Arabidopsis thaliana: one gene and its partners. The protein of the gene in region 1 interacts with the protein of each later gene in a pairwise test. Each region holds a gene or a part of one and is shown on either strand. Other genes may lie near its edges. The genes, in order: AT4G23050, AT1G67800, AFP2 and NAM.

Region 1 (6,334 bases):
CCACTTGAGCGATTCGAGAAACTTCCAAAAATACTTCAATCAAAAACAAAATAACATCTAAACAATAGAAGGAAGACGGAAAAAACCCAGGGAAGTGTAATTGAATCACCTCGAGCTTACGAACGGCGACGGCATTGGAAGAGCCGGTGATGGTCATGAAGGTGTCAATAGCTTCCTGAGTAGGTGTCGCCATTAGAAAAGAGAAAGCTTGAGAGAAGTTTTTCGTCGGAGATTTGTGTTTGGAGCTGGAGTGAAGGAGGAGGCAAGAATTAATATATGTTGTAAATCACAAAAATTGCAGTGAAGAAAGGAATTGGATCGGTGACTCTTAAGATTTTTAAAGCCTTTTTTAGGGTCTTTCTTCTTTTCCATTTTTTTTAATTCTCCTTTTTTATTTGGTGTGGATTTTCTTAAACTTTATTTTCTTTATTCTTTTTGTATATTTTCGGTGATATTCAAGATATTATTTTCAGAGAACTTGAGATAATATATGGAGTGTCCTAATCTGAATAACTAAATAAATAATTATTCAGTTGAAATTGGATTTTTTTTTTCAGAGTCTTTATATTTTATAAACTGGAATTCGAGTCAAATTCAGAGTGGATTAAACTTATCTTTTTAGTTTTTACTAGCCAAGAACTTTTTGACCTTTTTTTTTAACATGATATTAATTGTTATAGTGTATATACATTAAAAGTTAGATAATTTTTAATGTACAAAAAAAAAGTTACATAATTTATTTTTTTTCACACCAATTACATATTTTATTTGTCAATTTGACAGTAAATATGGAAATAAGCCTTAAAATGTAAAGGCTTTTCGGTCCAACAACGAAAAACCAAAACCAAACCCAAAACTAAAATATCCAAAGATATCCTCACTTTATGATCATCCCAATCTTCCCTCTATATAGTGCCTTTAAAGGAGCTGTCATGTTCTCTTTCGGCCGTTTGTAATATAAGAATTGTCGTTTTTGTCCAAAAAAAAGGGTTGGCTTTCAGTTTGTGTCCCAGAAACAAAGTAAATCTTTAGATAAATTGAAACAAAACTAGCTTTGTGACTCCAATTAAACTTTGCTTCCTCTAAGAAACCTTATGGAGAGTATTATTCTACAATGATTTGAAGTATACTACTAATAATTGATTACATTTAAATTCAACTATAATTTATTGTTATTGTTCTTCAATCAACTTGAACTTTGAGTTTATTGGGCACATTACTTTTAGAGGAATGTGAATGTGAACATTGAAGAGACGTGTATTTTATTTTCTTCTTGACAAATACCGTTGGAGGTATAAAAACACCATCAAACTCAGGCCCATTTGGCAATGGCGGCAACAAGAATGGGTATTATATTGAGGTTAATTTCGTCAATCACCACTTTTAAATCGTGACAAATTCGTCTATTATCTCTCAATCTTCTTCAACCTTCAATTACATCGGCAATTCTACAAGTGGCAGCATCCTATTAGTAACAAACACACGTGGCGTAAGCTAATGCGTCGTAGTGTTTATAATAGCTGGGGTTTGTTAATTATGGCGTCACGAGTGATTTAAGAAGCAGCTGAAAAATAATAAACAATGAGGGAATGCCAACGTTTTAAATTATATTTTTAATTTGTGAATTTTCATCAGAGTCGGATCTTGATGCGACTGCTCAAACAGAGTCACCGGCGATTACGATGGCCGGAAACAACTCGGAATCGAGTCTCTACCAGGTTTTGGTGGAGTGGTGTCAGAGGATGGAGACGAGTCAAGCGAGACTAAGGGAGGATGTTGATGACTTATTGCTTCAGGAGGAGAGTCGAACCGGTAAGGAATCGGCGACGGGATTGGAGACGGACACGGAGAAAGAGGCTGAGGTAGAGGTGGAAGCGGAGGCGGCGGATTCCTGGGATAATCCGACGGCGACTTGGGAGAGAGCTGTTTCAGGATTCTATTTCGCTGATAGTGCGTATCGGACTTTGATGGATTCAATGGGACACGCGATTCATGTAACATCAGCTGCGTCTGGAGAAATTACATTCTGGTGAGCTTGATAAGTTCTTCTTCTTCATCTATGGTGTTTGTAGATCAGGAGCTTATAGTTCTTCTAAGTACTGTTTCATTGAATTGTGTGTTTAAGTAGTTAAACAAAGTTATATATAGCGATTCATTGTATATGCAAGTGGACATTTACTATTTGTTTCTGAGTGGAGAGATTCTTTTATTATTATTCAGGAGTCGTTCTGCTGAGAATCTGTACCATTGGTATGCTGAGGAAGTTGTTGGCTACAGAACTATTGATGTGCTTGTAACCGAAGAATACCGTAATTCCCTTACTGGTATCAGGAATAGGGTGTGCCGTGGAGAGACTTGGACTGGTCAGTTTCCGTTTCAGAAGAAAACTGGTGAACTATTTATGGCTTTGGTGACTAAAAGCCCTGTGTATGAAAACGGTGAGCTGGTTGGTGTTGTTACTGTCTCGAGCGATGCAACCCTTTTCAATAGGATGCATCCACTAAGTAATGAGCATCAACAACAAGCTCGTAGTAATAATAGACATGAATCAAACTTGAGAAAACATCAGTGGCACCTCCCGAGGCCTCAGATCGCTGCAGCATCACAGGTTCCAGTTGTCCCACAATATTCATCAGCTGTTGCTTCAAACCTGGTAGATCTCACATCATGAATGTTCGAAGTTTCTCAGTACTTTTTTTTATATAATAATTCGTGTGCAACATGAATGATTGTTTGTTTTGCTGTTTTCTGCACAAACCAAGAAGGCGTCGAAGCTTCTACCACAGAGAAATGGAGATGATTCCTTCAATGGAAATCATAATTCGAGGAGCCGAGATGAAAATGTTCCGGTTGTTGCCTCCACAACTTTCGAGAAGTATGGCTCACTGGTAAGTCTTCGTTGGCTCCTTAAACAAGACACTTCTCATTGACATTTCTTAGAACGATTATTGTCTCATGTTATAAGCTAAATCTGCATATACACTAGTGTAGGCGGATAAGTTTTTGGGGAAGCTGCAAAGGAAGATTACTGGCAGCCAAGGAACCGAAGATAATGAGCCTATCTTAAGAAACGGTATCAATAAGTCAGCATGTGGCAGTGGAGGTAGTTCTAAGGCTTCTAATGCAGTTACCTGCACGGCTTTCAGAGACAATGGCAATGGAAAACCAAAAAGGGCTGAAGTTAGAATTTCAGATGTCTATGGAAATGGAGCTGAGGGTTTGATACATAATGGAGATCGCTTTCAGTATATTGGGAACCTGGGACAAAGTAAACCTCCCAGAGGACTAGAGAGTGGTTTGGTGTCTGGCATGCGGGGAACAAAAATGTCGGACCTAAATGGTGAGATAGAAGATGCTTGGAATACTCGTCTTAGTGTTGATCCCTTGCCAATTCTAGGAGTCAACAGCGGTAGGCAACAAAGTCCTGTCAACCAAAGGAATAATAGATTAGTTACTGATTCGTCATGTGAGATACGATGGGAAGATCTACAACTTGGGGAGGAGGTCGGAAGAGGTGTATTTCATTTACCAAAGTCTTACACTCGTTTTCACGTTTTAGATATGCAAATTCAATTCAGATCTGTGTCATTGCTGTTTAAATCAGATTACAAGTATTTCTGATGCGTTACATTTTCTCACAGGTTCATTTGCTGCGGTTCATCGTGGAGTTTGGAATGGATCGGTGAGTTTTCTGTAATTTAAGATAAAATAAGGATGATTCTAGTATTAGTTGCACATGGATAACTAACTAGTCCAATCTATTTGGACCAGGATGTTGCTATTAAGGTTTACTTCGATGGTGATTACAATGCGATGACTTTGACGGAGTGCAAAAAGGAGGTATGTATAATTAGTTCTCTCTGTTATGAATTGTTTCTAGAAGTTACTCGTACCAGACAAAATAAATCAGTTTTGATCAATAATATCTTCAGATCAACATTATGAAGAAACTGAGACATCCGAATGTGCTACTATTTATGGGAGCAGTATGTACAGAAGAAAAATCTGCCATAATCATGGAATATATGCCAAGGTGAGATTATTGACGTATGGATCTGGAAGTAGTGTTACTCCTTATCGAGTGTGTTATATTATGCTGCAAGAAATTGCAGATGAATACTCTGTGCTAAGTTATTTCTATACGGTTTTGATGATTAGAGGGAGTCTCTTCAAAATACTTCATAATACGAATCAGCCATTGGACAAGAAACGCCGTTTAAGAATGGCCCTTGATGTTGTAAGACTCTGATCTTCCAAAAACCTCCCTCACAATGAAAGAAAAAAATATGAAAGGCTGATTATATTCGGGTTCTCTGTTGTTGTTGCAGGCTAGGGGAATGAATTACTTACACCGCAGAAATCCGCCAATTGTACATAGAGACTTGAAATCTTCCAATCTACTCGTGGACAAGAACTGGAATGTCAAGGTACAAACAGTTTTCTCAAGTTACATTTATGAAGACTTGTAAAATGAGTTTACTATTGCATGGACTTTCAACTCTTTCTTCCCTAGGTTGGAGACTTTGGGTTATCAAAGTGGAAGAACGCAACCTTCTTGAGTACTAAATCCGGGAAAGGAACTGTAATGTTTAACAAAAGCCATTTCTGATTCTTTTAATCCACAAAACAGTCTTGGATTTCTGTTACTAAACATTGTTCAACTTTTTTCTATGTGCAGCCGCAGTGGATGGCTCCTGAAGTTCTCAGAAGTGAACCTTCGAATGAGAAGTACGTTGGATATAATATTAACCCTTTTTTGTTCTCTTTTCGAAGACATTATTCAATAACTTGAACATTTTTTTGGACTAAAAGCTCAATGCTTTCGTTGTAATAGGTGTGATGTGTTCAGCTTTGGAGTCATCTTATGGGAGCTAATGACTACGTTAGTACCATGGGACCGTTTGAACTCTATTCAGGTACCTCTCAAATTCTGTTCTTATGAGATTATAGCTTGATCATAAGATTGTAGTAATCTTAGCAACTTTAAATTAGGTTGTTGGAGTTGTTGGTTTCATGGATCGACGATTAGACTTACCTGAAGGATTAAATCCCCGGATCGCATCCATAATACAGGATTGTTGGCAAACGTAAGAAGACGCATCTGTAAATTGTTTCATCAAATACACCCTACAAACTTAGGGGCGATTTTTCTTATATTCTTTGTTCTAAATTGTTGAAACAGTGATCCAGCAAAACGACCGTCGTTCGAGGAATTAATTAGTCAGATGATGAGCCTGTTCCGCAAACCAGGGTCAGGTGCGCAAGAAGAAGACGATTGAGAAGGTAAACAGTACATGGTTAAAGGATAGTTCACAAAGCAAAGGACGTGAAAAGAAAACGAAAGCATCGTCCTGATCACTTACTATACAAATGTTTCATTGTGTTATACCAAACTACTATTTATGTTTTCATTGAAAGAAAGAAAGCAAAAATAGCTAAATCAAAGTAATATACAGTAGAATCTTAGGTTAGTTTAGTTAAACTATGCATTATATAAACTGTTGTCGGTTTATGAGCTAAGTTGTAAAATGGGATCTAAAAAGGCAGAGGCGCAGAGGCCAGAGGAGGACTCAGATGTAATTTAAGAAGTAAAAGGGTGAAAAAGAGAAATACGAGAAAAACTGTGAGATTGATGGTGTCTTGTAGTGAATTGTAATGTAGTTGGTTTTGGTTTGATGGGGTAAGAGAAGGAGGAGTGACAATTCGTAGGCATTGCTTCTTTTGCTTTAATATTCTCTTATTACAGCTTCCCATCACTGCGTCGTCTGTAGCTTCTCAGCACCTAATTATAAGAGAGAGTCAGAACCCTAAATAAAACTTTTTTTTCAATCCTTATTCGTAATTCCACATTACAGCATCTTGAAATTGACGCAGTCACAAAAGCATAATTAAAAAAAAAAGGATACAAAGATGGGTCTATTATACCGAGTATGTATTGTGCATGCATGTGACGTGGGTGAAGGGAACTTCTCTTATAGAAGTATTGAAAAAGGAGAAATTTTGGGGGATTGAAAATATTTGTCTGTTTGTCTGGTTAGGTCAGAACAAATCACATCGAGCTGCATAGTAATATTTCGTTTACAACACATGGTTGTGACCTCTAGACAAATAAACTTTTTAACAGTTTTCGCTGTTTTGCCTTGCATGTATTTCGTAGTATTTCAATTTATATGTAACTATATTTCAATTGAAACATCTTTACCATATTATTTTCTTTTTTGATGCCAATTTCTTTACCATGTGTTTGCTCTTGTGTTATTTATGTGTGATTGATTGATTGACCGTGTCGATTACCCAAGCGGAATCTTGTAAAGGGATACTCCGTCACCGTAAT
Region 2 (5,137 bases), on another chromosome or scaffold:
TCTAAAAAGACTCTACTTTGAATATGTATTTACTAAACACAAAACAGCTTTGTCTCTTTGGTTTGCGTGATAAAAATATTAGTAGGGTCCCTGAAACTAAAGATTGTTGAGCAATATGACTGGAATCTTATTCAAAGACTTGAAACATAGCTTTATCTCTTTTTCAGATTTGAAAATCTACACATCTTATCACTGTGGTAATACTTTTCGTGATGAAAGACACACACTAGATTTATTCTGGGTAAGCAAATGAATGAATGGAGAGGATCACCGCCCGGACTGCTTAACCGCATATACGTAAAACTAATACAAACTTGTGGAAGAGTAAGAAAGAATAGCAGACTCAGATTGGGATCTTGTTCATTACTGAGGGAAGAAGACCAAGAAAAGTATATCGCATATATTCTTACAGTAAAAAGTGATCAGTTTGATAGAAACCTATAATAGCCTTTGTGTTTTTGCCATCTTTCGTTGACAGTTACATCAATTATGAATCTTTAACGACAGAGAATAGATACGACCCCATAAGATGTCAATTATGGAAGTTAAAGCAGGACCATCTGGGCTACTGTGTTGAAGACTAGATGTTTCAAACAAGAAAGGTATATAGTAGTGTGTTGTTTGATACATATGTCATAGGACCATTCAAGATTCAAATTCTTTTAAGTAAAAATGTGTAACCGCAGAGAAAGGATCCTTTATTCACGAGAGAGTCTGCTGTGGTTTTTTCATGTGCAATGAGAATGCAAAATTGACAACAGATTATCTACAAAACCTTTGAGAGGAACCGGTTATTCCCCTCAAAGTAAAAACAAATGTTAGGACACTGGTAAATGAGATCTAAGTTGGGATGGTGTTGGCTGTGAAAGATCTCAGACCACCTCGGGTTCCTTCAGTTCTTGAGAGACTTATCTTAATAAAGCTTGATACGAACCGAGATTGAGCTCCGGCAAATGGGACACACATGGAGGTCTTCCCCACATCCAGCGCAAGTCTGATGAGCAAAATAAGAAAAACAAAGGAAAGTTAACGATTTTGATTCAAGTGCGATGCTTAGGTAACTCGGGAGTGGAAATGCACCTGATGACCACAATTGAAAGCCATGTTCTTTGCACTCACTAGACATACGGGGCAAAACTGTTGCTGTTTATCCAACAAAAAGATGTGACGAGCAGCAAAAGATTATCAATGCATTGTTGTTTCTTTCTTTGTAAATCATACCTGGCTCTCGTTATGAGTAGTTGAAGGTGGTGTAGAGGAAACACCATTATCATATGGTTTGTTTTGAAAACTGGTTGATCGGGAAGTTCTTGGGCTGTTGCGCATAGATTGAGTAGCATAAGTTGGTGGTGGAAGCGCAATCCTGTCTGGACAATGTCCGGTTCTTTGTCTGCAAATTCGAAACAAGGAACGAAATTGGCGGTTATTGAGATCAATTCATAAATGCTGCAGTGATGAACTCAAATATCTGAATTTACTTACCCAAGTAAGCCTAGTTCGAGGGTGGCTTTATACTGAGACGGGATCTCCATCAAGGCAGAAAGCGCGAATTCTGCCTCTTTTCTTGCTGGATCAATGTTCTTTGACATTATATCCGTGAAATTCACAAACTGAAAGGATTCAAATAGACAACAAAAACCTTTGAAATTGATACATTTGCCAGGAAAAAGACAAGGGATCTATCTACACTATTGTAGAAACATGTTGATATTATTACCTGGAAATTGTCAAAGGCACGAGCGGGGATGTTGTCATCAAACTGTCTCATGGTGTCCCAGGGACCATCTCCAACACCAACAAGAACTATAGACAAAGGATATTCACTGCAACAGAATCCACCACAAGTTAGAGAGACACAGTTTGAAATTGGATTTTCGTCAAAGGAAATAGTATTTATTACCTTGCTCTAACAATGGCATCAATAGTCTGCTGCTCTTGTGGACTGAATCCACCGTTATCTGTATCAACACTTCTTGTCACCTGTCATAGTTAAAAGCTCCAATGGTAACTATACAGTACACAAATGTCTGGGAATGATTATAACTAAACACAAATAGATACAAGAAATACTTTCTCTAGTCGAATTAGGTTCCAATCTTTACCTGTCCATCAGCGATAATGAGAAGAACATGGTACTGGCCACCACTTTCTTCCACAATTGTCATGGCCCTTTCGATGATAGGTGCAAAAGATGTCGGACCTGTAAGAGAAGCAGCAAACTATAAGGAAAAAGTACAGCAAGATTCAGAAGACATGCAGAAGAAAAGGGATTATTCATCTCACTCAACCTGAGAGACGAAGCTGGGGAACAATCTCTCTGTAACACATGAGAACTTCTTCAAACCCGTTACAATATGTATCATTGGGATTGAAACTGAAGACATCCTGATCATGAGTTGTAGCTGCATAGTCAAAGAGAAACCAACCTTAAAATCTATTCTAGACAGGAACTTAACAGCTACATAAAAACAATCAGGGTTTGTACCATCTCCAAATCCATAACAGGGGATCAAATTATCCTCATCAAAAACCGATAAAGTCTTTCCAATGATGGAAATAGCTTGTTGATAAGGGTTTGGAGTAGTTCCAATGAAATGCAGACTCTTCCTACCAAATGATCTCGCCCCTAAATCAAATCACCCAAGTCAGCTTCCAGGTCAAAGAAACATATACTAAAACATTGAGATAAATTCTCTAACCTGTCCACTCGTTGCTCTTGGTGACATCTATACCAACAATGAGATTCGAGGACTCCAAACCGGCATGTGAAAGAGCAGCGGTAACCTAAAAGAAAAGAAATATCAACAAAACACCAATAGAGAGATTCACAAACCGACACAACGACCTAAGAGACAAACAAACAAAAACAAGAGTGATCATCAAACCTCATCAATGGAACGGTAGTTATCAGCAATCCGTGAATACTTCCTCTCAAGATTCTTCGGTGTTTGTCTCCCAGAATTATAGGATGAAACAGGAGACGCAGATGGATGGTTTGGTGTCTGATAATAGCTGCTCTGGTCCCAAGCAGACGAATAAGATGAGCTCCCAGACACACTACGTTCATACCTACGACCACTTCCACCTCCTCTAGGTGACTCTTTAGAGCTACTTCCTCCCATCCAAGACAACCAAACCCAAAACAAGATAAACAAAACAATCGCCTGCAACACTTCAAGCATATGTCAAAAAATCAGATTAAGCCAACAACAAAGTTCCCTTCTTATCAAAATCAAACACGCATATATAAATATGAGAGAGCTTATTGACTCTGAAACAGATCCAAAGTTTGGATTTTTTCATCAAAGTCTTCACCTTTTACATTGTTTAAACACGTTTGACTCGGTAAATTTCACATTCATTGCCTAATAAACTAATATATATCAGTAAGTCGCTTTCAGGAGGATTATAGCATCGCCGTGAAATACAAGGAAATTCTCAAAGTTTTTCCGGCGAGAAATGATAAATTAAGGGAAGACCCAATTCGGAAAATTACAGGAAACAAGGGCTTTACGAGTTGACTGGTTCAAACTAATTGAGAGAGTCACAGAGAGAGAGAGACGTTACCTGTAATCGAATCAGCCCAAGGATCTCTTGTGAAGTTGATTTTTTTAATTCACCAATTGTGACGTTTATATACGTATCCATTTCACAAAAACAAAACAAAAAATAAGGGAAGTAAACTTATAGTAATTAAAATTTTAGTTTGATAATTAAATTTTTGGGGGATCATATACCATAAGAAAAAAATTAAAATAAAATTTTACAATTACAATCTATGCATATTTTTATCCTACCAAAAAAATCTATGCATATTTTTATACTTAATTTATTAATTTTATAAATATATATTTTTTAAATAAATTAAGATTTCTTGAAGATATGGAAAAACGAAATTGAAATATACAGTAGAAATATTATTTTATTTCTTACATGATTTTCAATAATTTATTTATATTTATTATTTTCTTGCAAAAGATAAATTATCACATTTTCCTTTGTTTTTGTTAAAATTTTATCTTCCCCTGCATAAAAGATTTGACTAAATGCTAGATACAGTTCAATATATTACTATTAAGTTATATACTATCATCCAACAAGAAAAGTTGAACAGCAACTCCACAACCAAATAACCCAAGCTATGAACCTTAAGAAATTTAGACATGAAAAGTTGATAAACACTTATATCTTTATTTTATTGTTAAACATATAATGATATAAATCAATACAATGTGTTAACTTCTCATTATATGTTATTTAACACATTGTATTGTCACCACATATCTCTGTTTTCTTAGTTACGTTTTTTTGAGTTAATGATAACATCATAGATGTAAATGTTAAGTAGAAACAGTGTGTGACAGAGCATGATACAAAAAGTGTTTTATTTCAATATTTTACTTTTCTTAAAGTTCACATTTTTATTCTATAACACACAATACATAGATAGAGGCACAAAGACTTGCAAGCACAAACGAAAGAAGAGGGAGAGATAACAAAGATATAAGAGAAGAAAAACACACCGAACTACAGAAGAAGAATTTTGTTAATCTCGAACCCATTTCGGTTCTTTGATCACGATAAGTGGATTTACGCTTTCATCAAAGATGCAGTTAGATTTTTGCCTAAAACCGCGTAAACCGAGCTCCATCCTGCCTGAGTAGGGTGAAGTACATCCCAGAAGAAAGTAGACTTAGGATCATCGCATAAGGTATAGTTCTTCTGACCTTTCTCGTCCACAACCCCACAAACACCTCCTCAACATTCTTTCAACGGAGTTTTAAACCGCGTACTCCCTACATTTCCATAACCAATCACACAATATATAAAAGCCTTGAAAATATGGATTTCAAGAATGTTGTGTTTTACTTTTTCTTAACTGGAGTCTCTCCATTGTTCTTGAAAACGGTCAAGAAGGCGTTGTAGTAATCAATGAACATGAAAGTCGAATCCTTGGTCTCTTTGTTGAGCGTGGCCAGTAGTGTCTTCAACTTGTTGTTGTGATAGATCACTAGCCCGTTTACAGCTATAATGCAATCCTTGACTGTGGAGCCTTTGGAGATGAAGGGGATAGTTAAATAATGTTATTTGGAATTTTCCATATACATAATGGAATCTTCTTAGTTTATTATCTACT
Region 3 (4,202 bases), on another chromosome or scaffold:
GATGGTATCCAAGTGAGAAGTTACAGGGTGAGTTGTTTATTGAATGGATCTTTTGAAGAAACTTGTTTCACAGCCAATTTTTTTGAAATCCTCATTAAGTTTTTCTTTTGCAGCTCAAGGGAAACTGTTTTGGCTTTGTGACATTCGCATCTGCTGAAGCTGTGAAATTGGTCCTCCAGGTATGTTTCAACATCAACGATATTTCTTACAAACTTTTTGGTTATAAACTGGATTCTTCTTTTGATGTTCTACTACACAACTCTAGGCTCACAAAGAATCAGCCATCAGAATCGGAAACCGAAGAGTTTCAATAGAAGAGAAACGAGGTAAGTCAAAGTAAAGTTTAGTACTAATGTCTCCAACTTCAGGGTAGAAAAACTGAAACCATTGGTTCCGTTGCAGGCAACAACGATAATGGAAGACCCGCAATGCGAAACGGAGGTTATAGGAACGACAACGGTTACAGAAACGATGGGTATAGGCCTCGAGGCAACGGTTCCAATGGAGGTCGAGGCTATGGAAGAAATGGATCTGAGAGACGGGGTGAATCACGCAATGGTGAGGCTCACAATGGTGATGGCAAAGTTCATCAGAACGGTACGGTAGAAGCTAGCCGTTAAAATACTCAATCCAGAGGCTAAACAAGTTTGAAGTCATTTGTTAAACTCTGTTGTGTTATTGTTGTTCATTTGAAATTGAGGTTTTATAGGAAGAGATAGTGAGAGGGAGAGAGAGAGATTAGAAGTTCTTTTGGAGTAGGTTTATCTCTTAGGTGATAATCCCTTCTTTGAGATTTTGTTTGGGATAACAAAAATTTGATGATTACTTTTACCTTCCATTCTGAATCATCTTCATTTGGTCCGGTTTACACATAACCAAAATTAATCGGAAGTTCGTTGTCAATTGATTGAGACATCTTTTAGGACCAAACCGAATAAAATATTTTCTAGTGAAAAAAACAAATGGGCAACGAACCCTTAAACTTATGGGCTTGATGTGAATGGTGTTGGTCTTCAAACGACGACGTATTGTAGTATTCTCTAAGTTTGCATTATTACACAAACCAACAGGTGACGAACACGTAGCATTTTTGGTTTTTATGGTGTAAAGATCTTGACGTCCCCACTTGACTCAACAAAGTGACCCACCAAGGATTCTAAAAATCTTCTTTTCGATTTATAGATTTCATTCTCAAACCTAACTGTCACTGAATCAATAATAATCAGACTTTTTCACTAAGTTATATTGCTCATTATGCTAATCTAAACTCTTCTCCATCAAACGATTAGTCGCCAATAATCAAACTTTACCTTGTTAATTACTTTATATTATCATTGTTAAGTCTTTTAGTTTATATACTATGGTTTATTGATGATTGCCTTTGTGTAGTAGTAGTATTCAATTACTTTTACATGGAAGTGTTTTTATTCTCCCTTCACTTTTTCACAAGCAACTTGCTTGCTTCGTGGGTCCTTTGGTCTAACCCACGTGAGTGACGTTGTCGAGTCGCTAGATTTATCATATTCAAATTATGTTGTTGTTAACTCTCCCAATATAAATAAGATTACAAGAGATTGTAAAATTATAAATCAACGATACCATAAGTAATCACTAATCAGGTCTGTCATTTTCTTACTCTCTATATACGTTTATGTCTGATTTTGTTAATTTTTGAGGTAATATTTTTTTTTTTCGAGTTTGAGATTTTTTTTTTTCTCTTTTACAAAAACTTGTGCAAAAAAATTAAAAAGAAAAGGGGAAAAAGGAGAAAACGGATCTTTTTACTTGGGAGACACGTGTCGTGACACTGGATAACTCAGTCACTTTACGACACGTTTCTTGAAGCAGCACTATGGAACGCCGACGTAATCCACCGGCCACGTGTCGTTCAGGCAGCTCTCTCGGCGGCCACTTGCCTCCTCTCAGTCAAGGCCTGTCTCTCTTTCTTTCTTTCTTTCTTCTTCTCTCTCTTTTCCTCTAATGTCCAAAAGGGTCTTCTTCTTTGTCTCTGCTCTTCACTTTCAATTATAACCTCTTCGTCTTCTTCGCCGTCTCTGGTATTAACTCCGGCGAGTTTTTTTTTTTTTTTTACTTTGATATGAATTTGCGAGATTTACTGTTTAATTCATGATGACAATTTTGGATTTTTGATCGGATGTGAAATTCAGAGTTTTTCATTCTTCTTCATCATCTTATAACAAAGAAGAAACAAAACAAAAAACTTTTTTTTTCTTTCTTTCTATTGTTTCGGAATCTATGGGTGAAGCAAGCAGACAACAAAGGGCATGGAACAGAGAAATGACGGTTACGACAAATCTTTCTCTAGACATAGATAAATACCCGAGAGATCTGTTACGAGGTTTCATGTCTGAAAACGGCGGTGGAAGAGTCTTTCACGGCGGAGAAACAAACTGCGATGATGAGAGTACGATTGAGCTCAATCTTGGTTTGTCTTTAGGTGGTAGATTCGGAGTAGACAAGACTCCGAGGAAGCTGAAACGATCTTCTTCTGTTTTGGACACTGTACCATTCAACGATTCAACTGTGGCTGAGCCTGAGAATTACACGGTGGGTTTAGAGAGAACGACGTCGTTACCGGCGGAGATGGAAGAGGAATGGAGGAAAAGGAAAGAGATGCAATCGCTTAGGAGAATGGAAGCTAAGAGAAGGAGATGTGAGAAACAGAGTTTCAGAGTTGGGAATTCTGATGACCAAACGGTGTCGTTTGAGAATGAGAGATGGGTTACTGCGAGTAAAAGTGGCTTCTTGCAGAGACATTTGGTTTCTTCTAATAGACAAGTCTGTGGTGTTGATTCCGATGGAGGAGGAGCAACGGGAGGAGGTAGTTCATCGAGCTTGTCGGAGCTAGACAACAAAAATCAGCAAGGTAGATTTCAATACATTGTTGGTTTTTAGACACAAGATTAGTAACACTAAAATGTAAAATTGGATATTTGTCATTGAACCTGTGGAATTGTAGAATGAGTGAATGTATTCAGTGGAAGAGTGATCTGAGTCTATGTGTTGTAGGATCATCAAACAGCTGCAATGATGAAAGAAGCCCGAAAATCGTGGCAGGATGTTCATCGAACAGCGGAAGCCAGGGAACAGAGAGACCGAGTGTGACTAGAGCCAACAAAGTGAATGAGAATGAGAATGAAAAAAGAGTGAGAAGTGAAGACTCGGTGGATAGGAAAGGAAAAGGGATGGCTACGTCTACTGGTTTGGTTGATATGCCTTGTGTGTTTACTAAAGGGGACGGGCCAAACGGAAGACGGGTTGATGGGATTCTGTACAAGTATGGAAAAGGAGAGGAAGTGAGGATAATGTGCATTTGCCATGGTAGTTTCTTGACACCAGCTGAGTTTGTTAAACATGGTGGTGGTGGAGATGTGGATCGTCCTCTTCGGCATATCGTTGTCAACACCTCTTCTTCGACCTTTTAAATCGAAGAATCGGTGAAGAAACCGGAAGGGTCTTGTGTTCTCTGTTTCATTTTTTTTCTTGTTGTTTTATCTTTTGGATCTCTCTGGTTTTTGGCTATAAAAATGAATGCCAAAACCTCAAATCTTGATGAAGATCAAGATTCTCATGTTGTCTTAGGTCTAATACTTGTGAACATGAAAGTATCATCATCGAATGATTCTTTCTCGAGCTCTCGCGTTTAATATAAGTCCTCTCTGCAAAGTGCGTATAATTGATGTGTAAACATTATAACAGTTTAACAATGAAGAGGGAACAAGTGAGTACAGAAGAGCTCAAGCAGTTGAAAAGTTTTTATGAAGCAAGTGTAGTTGCAGGACAACTATCAACCGCACAAGCCAAGATGTCTCTGTAATCTTTTGATATCGTGAAAGAATCGTGGACTCGTCCGTCACTGCTCTTCTTGTACTCAAACAGAAGGTTTGAGTGATCAATGGCTGTAAGTTTAAGGAATCCGTAATCATAGTCTCTGAACAGACTCCAATTCGGTTGAAGATCAGAGAATTCAGCAAGACCAGCTCCTCCACCTCCAGCAACAATGTGAATGGTTCCATTCAATGGAGCTTTGTAGTTACTCTTCTCATGACTCGTGCATACACTCTACAGACAAGAAACGAAACAAACAATGGAATAATTCCCTTTTCTTAAGAACCATTCTTCGATATGCCAGTACAGTACATGATGTTTACCTGGTAAACCGGGCATGTTCTCTCGTAGTT
Region 4 (4,272 bases), on another chromosome or scaffold:
TTATTTGCACTAAGTCAAAGTTTAGTTTTTTTTACTTTTTAGTGACGAAAAAAAGTTCATAAGATCCGTTCATTGCCACCCTCAAATAATCCTTTCATTATCTCTTTATCTATTTGTATAGAAAATTAGTTTGTGAGAAAAACGCATCAGGTCTGATATATATATATAAACCAACGATTAAAGGTTTAAGAAATAATAAAAATTAGAGTGTGAAAATAATAAAATTTCGCATTACTCAAACAGTTGGTAATTCTTGCTTATATTGTTATGTAACTCATAACCAAAAATAGATATATTAAATAATATATTGTTATATATTAATTATCAAGATAATTAATTAATTTTTTGTTAATTGATGAATTTCTTTATAAAATTCCAATGGTCACAAAATACAAAGGGAATACAAAAGCGTGATATGACATTTGAAACGTAAAAAAGCTTTTTTGAATTTTCACTTTGTTGCCTTGTGTGGCACTTAAGCGGGTCCCATTTTACAGCTTGCCACGTGTCGACGTAATGTACTCAGAATAACACGGTACTATTGGAAGCATGCACCTTCAGTTATTTGTCCACACATGATAATCAAAAAAAAAAAGTGATACGTAGAAGTTTTTGCATTGGTAAAAAATATTTTAATTTATATTCTGTTTTCATTAAATTTTAAATTATTCTATTTTAAAGTATTTGTTTAACCGTTAAAAGGTAAAACTATATAGTATACCACTTAAGTTTAGGGATGATGAAAAAAACTACCACGTAAAACAATAATAAATCGGTTGGTTGAAACCTTGCAAGTTCCATGTAAATTTATTAAAGTATATATTATTTTAAAAATATTTTATAGATAAAAAAACTAAATTAATAGTGCCGTGCACTTTTCTTATATGATTTTTGTTATTATAATTTTTTTTAATTTTTTTATTATAACTTACTATAGAGACAAAAATATATATATGCTTATTGGATGAAAACAATCGCTATCGTTGTTAATGGTCGCTCGTGTCAAGCCACACTTTGAGCCTATATGAACACAGACGATAATGCATGGTTAAAGAGGTTAAGAAAGTCATTATCGACTCCGAAATCACTATTTTACCCTCCTTTGCCTTGGTTAGTATCGTAATTTAAAAAGATTCGACATGATTAGTCAGACTTTGTATATGTGTCGAATTGTCGCCACTCTTTATCTCCTTTTAGTACAAACCAAACCACACTAAACTCGGCTGAATTATGGGAGATTATGTATTATTATTGATTGCCAACAAATTCTAATATTCCGGGTCTAAAATAATAAAATATTATTTTTTGGGGTACAATTGTTAATTACAAACACTAATCTGAGATTAACAGTATTTTGTAGGTCAAACAAACTTTACAAAAAACAAATGGTTTTATCATCTTATGAATTGAAATCTACAGAAGATGAAAGATAAACTACGATTTAATTCTAGCTAAGTACATATAGATCAAATTAATTAGTGAAAAGGATCAACAAAGCAAATTAAATGTACTCTCTCATGATTCACGAAGATAAGATAGCATCATCTATTTTAATTTGAAATCAATGATAGAAATCTCTTTACCTACACCTTCCTACACATATGGGTCAAAACGTTTTTTTTTTGGTATGACATTTTATTCCTTTTTCCTGTTGCTAATCTACATATATAACTACATAGCGTACAGCTATACATATTAAATATATTAGATCTCTACAATAGGTTAAACTGTAACACAAACTATTGATTTAGATAGCTACGGTAATTAATACGTTTTGATCGTCCATATTCCACAAATATAAATAGAAATACCATTTGATGTGTAACAAAAAAATCTCATAGACATTTATGGTTTTAATACAAAAAAAATTCTCAAAAATTGTAAATAAATACGAGTGGATACGATGGTCTACGTACAAAAGATTCCAGAGGATAAAAGCCATTTTGATTTGTCGTTTTAATGCCTTCCATTTTTAAAAAGAAAGATTACTAACGCCGACTCTCTAAAACTCTCTCAAACCATAAAAAATATTCTCCGATCATCATTTTAATGGAGAGTACAGATTCTTCCGGTGGTCCTCCGCCGCCGCAACCAAACCTCCCTCCAGGATTCCGGTTTCATCCAACAGACGAAGAACTTGTAATTCATTACCTCAAACGCAAAGCAGATTCTGTTCCTTTACCAGTCGCGATCATCGCCGACGTTGATCTTTACAAATTTGATCCATGGGAACTTCCCGGTAAGTTGAAACAAGACCAAGATCATAATCCGATCAGATCTGTTTCATTTTTTTTTTTACTGATTTTTGTTTTTTTTTGTGTTCTTGATTGTGACAGCGAAAGCTTCGTTTGGAGAACAAGAATGGTATTTTTTCAGTCCAAGAGATCGGAAATATCCCAACGGAGCTAGACCTAACCGAGCTGCGACTTCCGGTTATTGGAAAGCGACTGGTACAGATAAACCGGTGATTTCAACCGGCGGTGGTGGTAGTAAAAAAGTGGGAGTTAAAAAGGCTCTAGTGTTTTACAGTGGTAAACCACCAAAAGGAGTTAAATCAGATTGGATTATGCATGAATATCGGTTAACTGATAATAAACCTACTCATATTTGTGACTTCGGCAACAAGAAAAACTCTCTCAGGGTATATTATTATAATATTCTTAAAATCTTGATTTTAAAAGAAAAGTTTTGATTGGCTAATTTTTGATTCTTTTTATTACTATGTAGCTTGATGATTGGGTGTTGTGTCGTATCTACAAGAAAAACAATAGTACAGCATCTAGACATCATCATCATCTTCATCATATTCATCTAGATAATGATCATCATCGTCATGATATGATGATTGATGATGATCGATTCCGTCATGTTCCTCCTGGTCTTCACTTCCCGGCGATTTTTTCTGACAATAATGATCCGACGGCTATATATGATGGTGGCGGCGGCGGATACGGAGGTGGAAGTTACTCGATGAATCATTGTTTCGCATCTGGATCAAAGCAGGAGCAGTTGTTTCCACCGGTGATGATGATGACTAGTCTAAATCAAGATTCCGGTATTGGATCGTCGTCGTCACCTAGCAAGAGATTTAACGGCGGCGGCGTTGGAGATTGTTCGACTTCTATGGCGGCGACGCCGTTAATGCAGAACCAAGGTGGGATTTACCAATTGCCTGGTTTGAATTGGTATTCTTGAAAACAATTTACGATGAAGAATTTTTAAAATTTGTGTATATATATACGGTTTGAGTGATTAGGGGGCATTGGGGGATTTATTTACGGTTGATTATTATTGTAGTGTTATAGAACTAAGGAGATTAAATTAAATAGATTGGAGGAGAGGTATAAGGTAACATATAGAAATTATACAACAATAGTTTAAATATTCTTTTCTTTTCTTTTTCATGTTATTATTTTTACTAATGTATAGGTGATGATTATACTTAGATGTTTGTAGCTTGTATAAATTAATGCATGCATATATATAAAAATATATTAACAGTTATAGAAACTAGATTACCCTTGTGCTTTTCTTCAGCTATTTATTTTCAGTACTATCAGCTTCAACATTCGCATGTTTTGCTGCAAATTTTATTTTTTAAAAACATGATTTTAAAGTGACATCAGAAATACTATTTGGTAGAAGACCCTAACTTATAAGAAACAGACGATAATGAAACTATCTGGCGGAGCTTTTATTTGACTTTGTCGAAAACATGTTCGGAACCAAATCTTGGCAATCAAAATAAGTGGAGATAAAAGATACGACAAAGGGCCTTCAAATCTGGTTTGAATCAATAGTTTTAAACTGAAAAGTTTTAATCTTTTTGTTAGATCAAACAAATGTTGCACTTGTTGTAAAAACAATGTTCAAAAAATAAATATGATGTTCATAATTAAATTCGAATCGAATACATGTAATGGACATCTTTAATCATTTTTTTTTTCTTTTCTTTTCATAATGATAAATACAAATTTGATGCTGAGTAGAATAATAAAAAACACAATATTACGTTTATATTAAACAAAAAAAGGCATACATATCCATCTCTTTATATTATATTTATACCATCCTTAACCAAATTTGATTTCCAAGAAAAGAGAAGCTATTCCCATGGCAAGTAATGAAGTTCAAGCTAATCAACTCGAAAGGCAGAATGCTACTGTCAGCGATGTGTTAGCCGATCCTCTATGCACATGTTGGTGAGTTCATAACACAATTTAATTACTAGTTTCCAAAATTTAGTGTCTCTCTAATATATATGTTCTTCTT

Evidence for each region.
Region 2: the proteins of AT4G23050 (region 1) and AT1G67800 interact in a two-hybrid assay, tested with the Arabidopsis thaliana proteins (one large-scale study listed by BioGRID).
Region 3: the proteins of AT4G23050 (region 1) and AFP2 interact in a two-hybrid assay, tested with the Arabidopsis thaliana proteins (one large-scale study listed by BioGRID).
Region 4: the proteins of AT4G23050 (region 1) and NAM interact in a two-hybrid assay, tested with the Arabidopsis thaliana proteins (one large-scale study listed by BioGRID).

The regions. Positions count from the first base shown.
Region 1 is NC_003075.7:12,078,430-12,084,763, forward strand, and holds AT4G23050 (PAS domain-containing protein tyrosine kinase family protein), read left to right. Parts: upstream 1-1,630; 5' UTR 1,631-1,682; coding exon 1,683-2,029; intron 2,030-2,220; coding exon 2,221-2,653; intron 2,654-2,762; coding exon 2,763-2,888; intron 2,889-2,991; coding exon 2,992-3,514; intron 3,515-3,641; coding exon 3,642-3,682; intron 3,683-3,771; coding exon 3,772-3,840; intron 3,841-3,932; coding exon 3,933-4,033; intron 4,034-4,158; coding exon 4,159-4,237; intron 4,238-4,328; coding exon 4,329-4,427; intron 4,428-4,513; coding exon 4,514-4,582; intron 4,583-4,678; coding exon 4,679-4,728; intron 4,729-4,834; coding exon 4,835-4,916; intron 4,917-4,992; coding exon 4,993-5,087; intron 5,088-5,182; coding exon 5,183-5,279; 3' UTR 5,280-5,827; downstream 5,828-6,334. Other genes in the region: AT4G23040 (Ubiquitin-like superfamily protein), read right to left, coding at 110-193.
Region 2 is NC_003070.9:25,420,116-25,425,252, forward strand, and holds AT1G67800 (Copine (Calcium-dependent phospholipid-binding protein) family), read right to left. Parts: upstream 3,550-5,137; 5' UTR 3,183-3,549; coding exon 2,886-3,182; intron 2,785-2,885; coding exon 2,700-2,784; intron 2,627-2,699; coding exon 2,486-2,626; intron 2,403-2,485; coding exon 2,289-2,402; intron 2,201-2,288; coding exon 2,103-2,200; intron 1,981-2,102; coding exon 1,901-1,980; intron 1,824-1,900; coding exon 1,718-1,823; intron 1,611-1,717; coding exon 1,483-1,610; intron 1,391-1,482; coding exon 1,222-1,390; coding exon of another isoform or gene 1,216-1,221; exon of another isoform or gene 1,144-1,215; coding exon 1,081-1,143; intron 995-1,080; coding exon 914-994; 3' UTR 531-913; downstream 1-530. UniProt on the Arabidopsis thaliana protein: Together with RGLG1, mediates the ubiquitination and subsequent proteasomal degradation of the target protein PP2CA.
Region 3 is NC_003070.9:4,711,713-4,715,914, forward strand, and holds AFP2 (ABI five binding protein 2), read left to right. Parts: upstream 1-1,720; 5' UTR 1,721-2,256; coding exon 2,257-2,887; exon of another isoform or gene 2,888-3,030; coding exon 3,031-3,446; 3' UTR 3,447-3,695; downstream 3,696-4,202. Other genes in the region: AT1G13730 (Nuclear transport factor 2 (NTF2) family protein with RNA binding (RRM-RBD-RNP motifs) domain-containing protein), read left to right, coding at 1-27, 114-179, 266-326, 403-620; AT1G13750 (Purple acid phosphatases superfamily protein), read right to left, coding at 3,778-4,083, 4,173-4,202. UniProt on the Arabidopsis thaliana protein: Acts as a negative regulator of abscisic acid (ABA) response during germination through the ubiquitin-mediated proteolysis of ABI5/DPBF1.
Region 4 is NC_003070.9:19,688,208-19,692,479, reverse strand, and holds NAM (NAC (No Apical Meristem) domain transcriptional regulator superfamily protein), read left to right. Parts: upstream 1-1,890; 5' UTR 1,891-2,049; coding exon 2,050-2,239; intron 2,240-2,336; coding exon 2,337-2,641; intron 2,642-2,727; coding exon 2,728-3,195; 3' UTR 3,196-3,772; downstream 3,773-4,272. UniProt on the Arabidopsis thaliana protein: May encode a transcription factor involved in the elaboration of shoot apical meristems (SAM).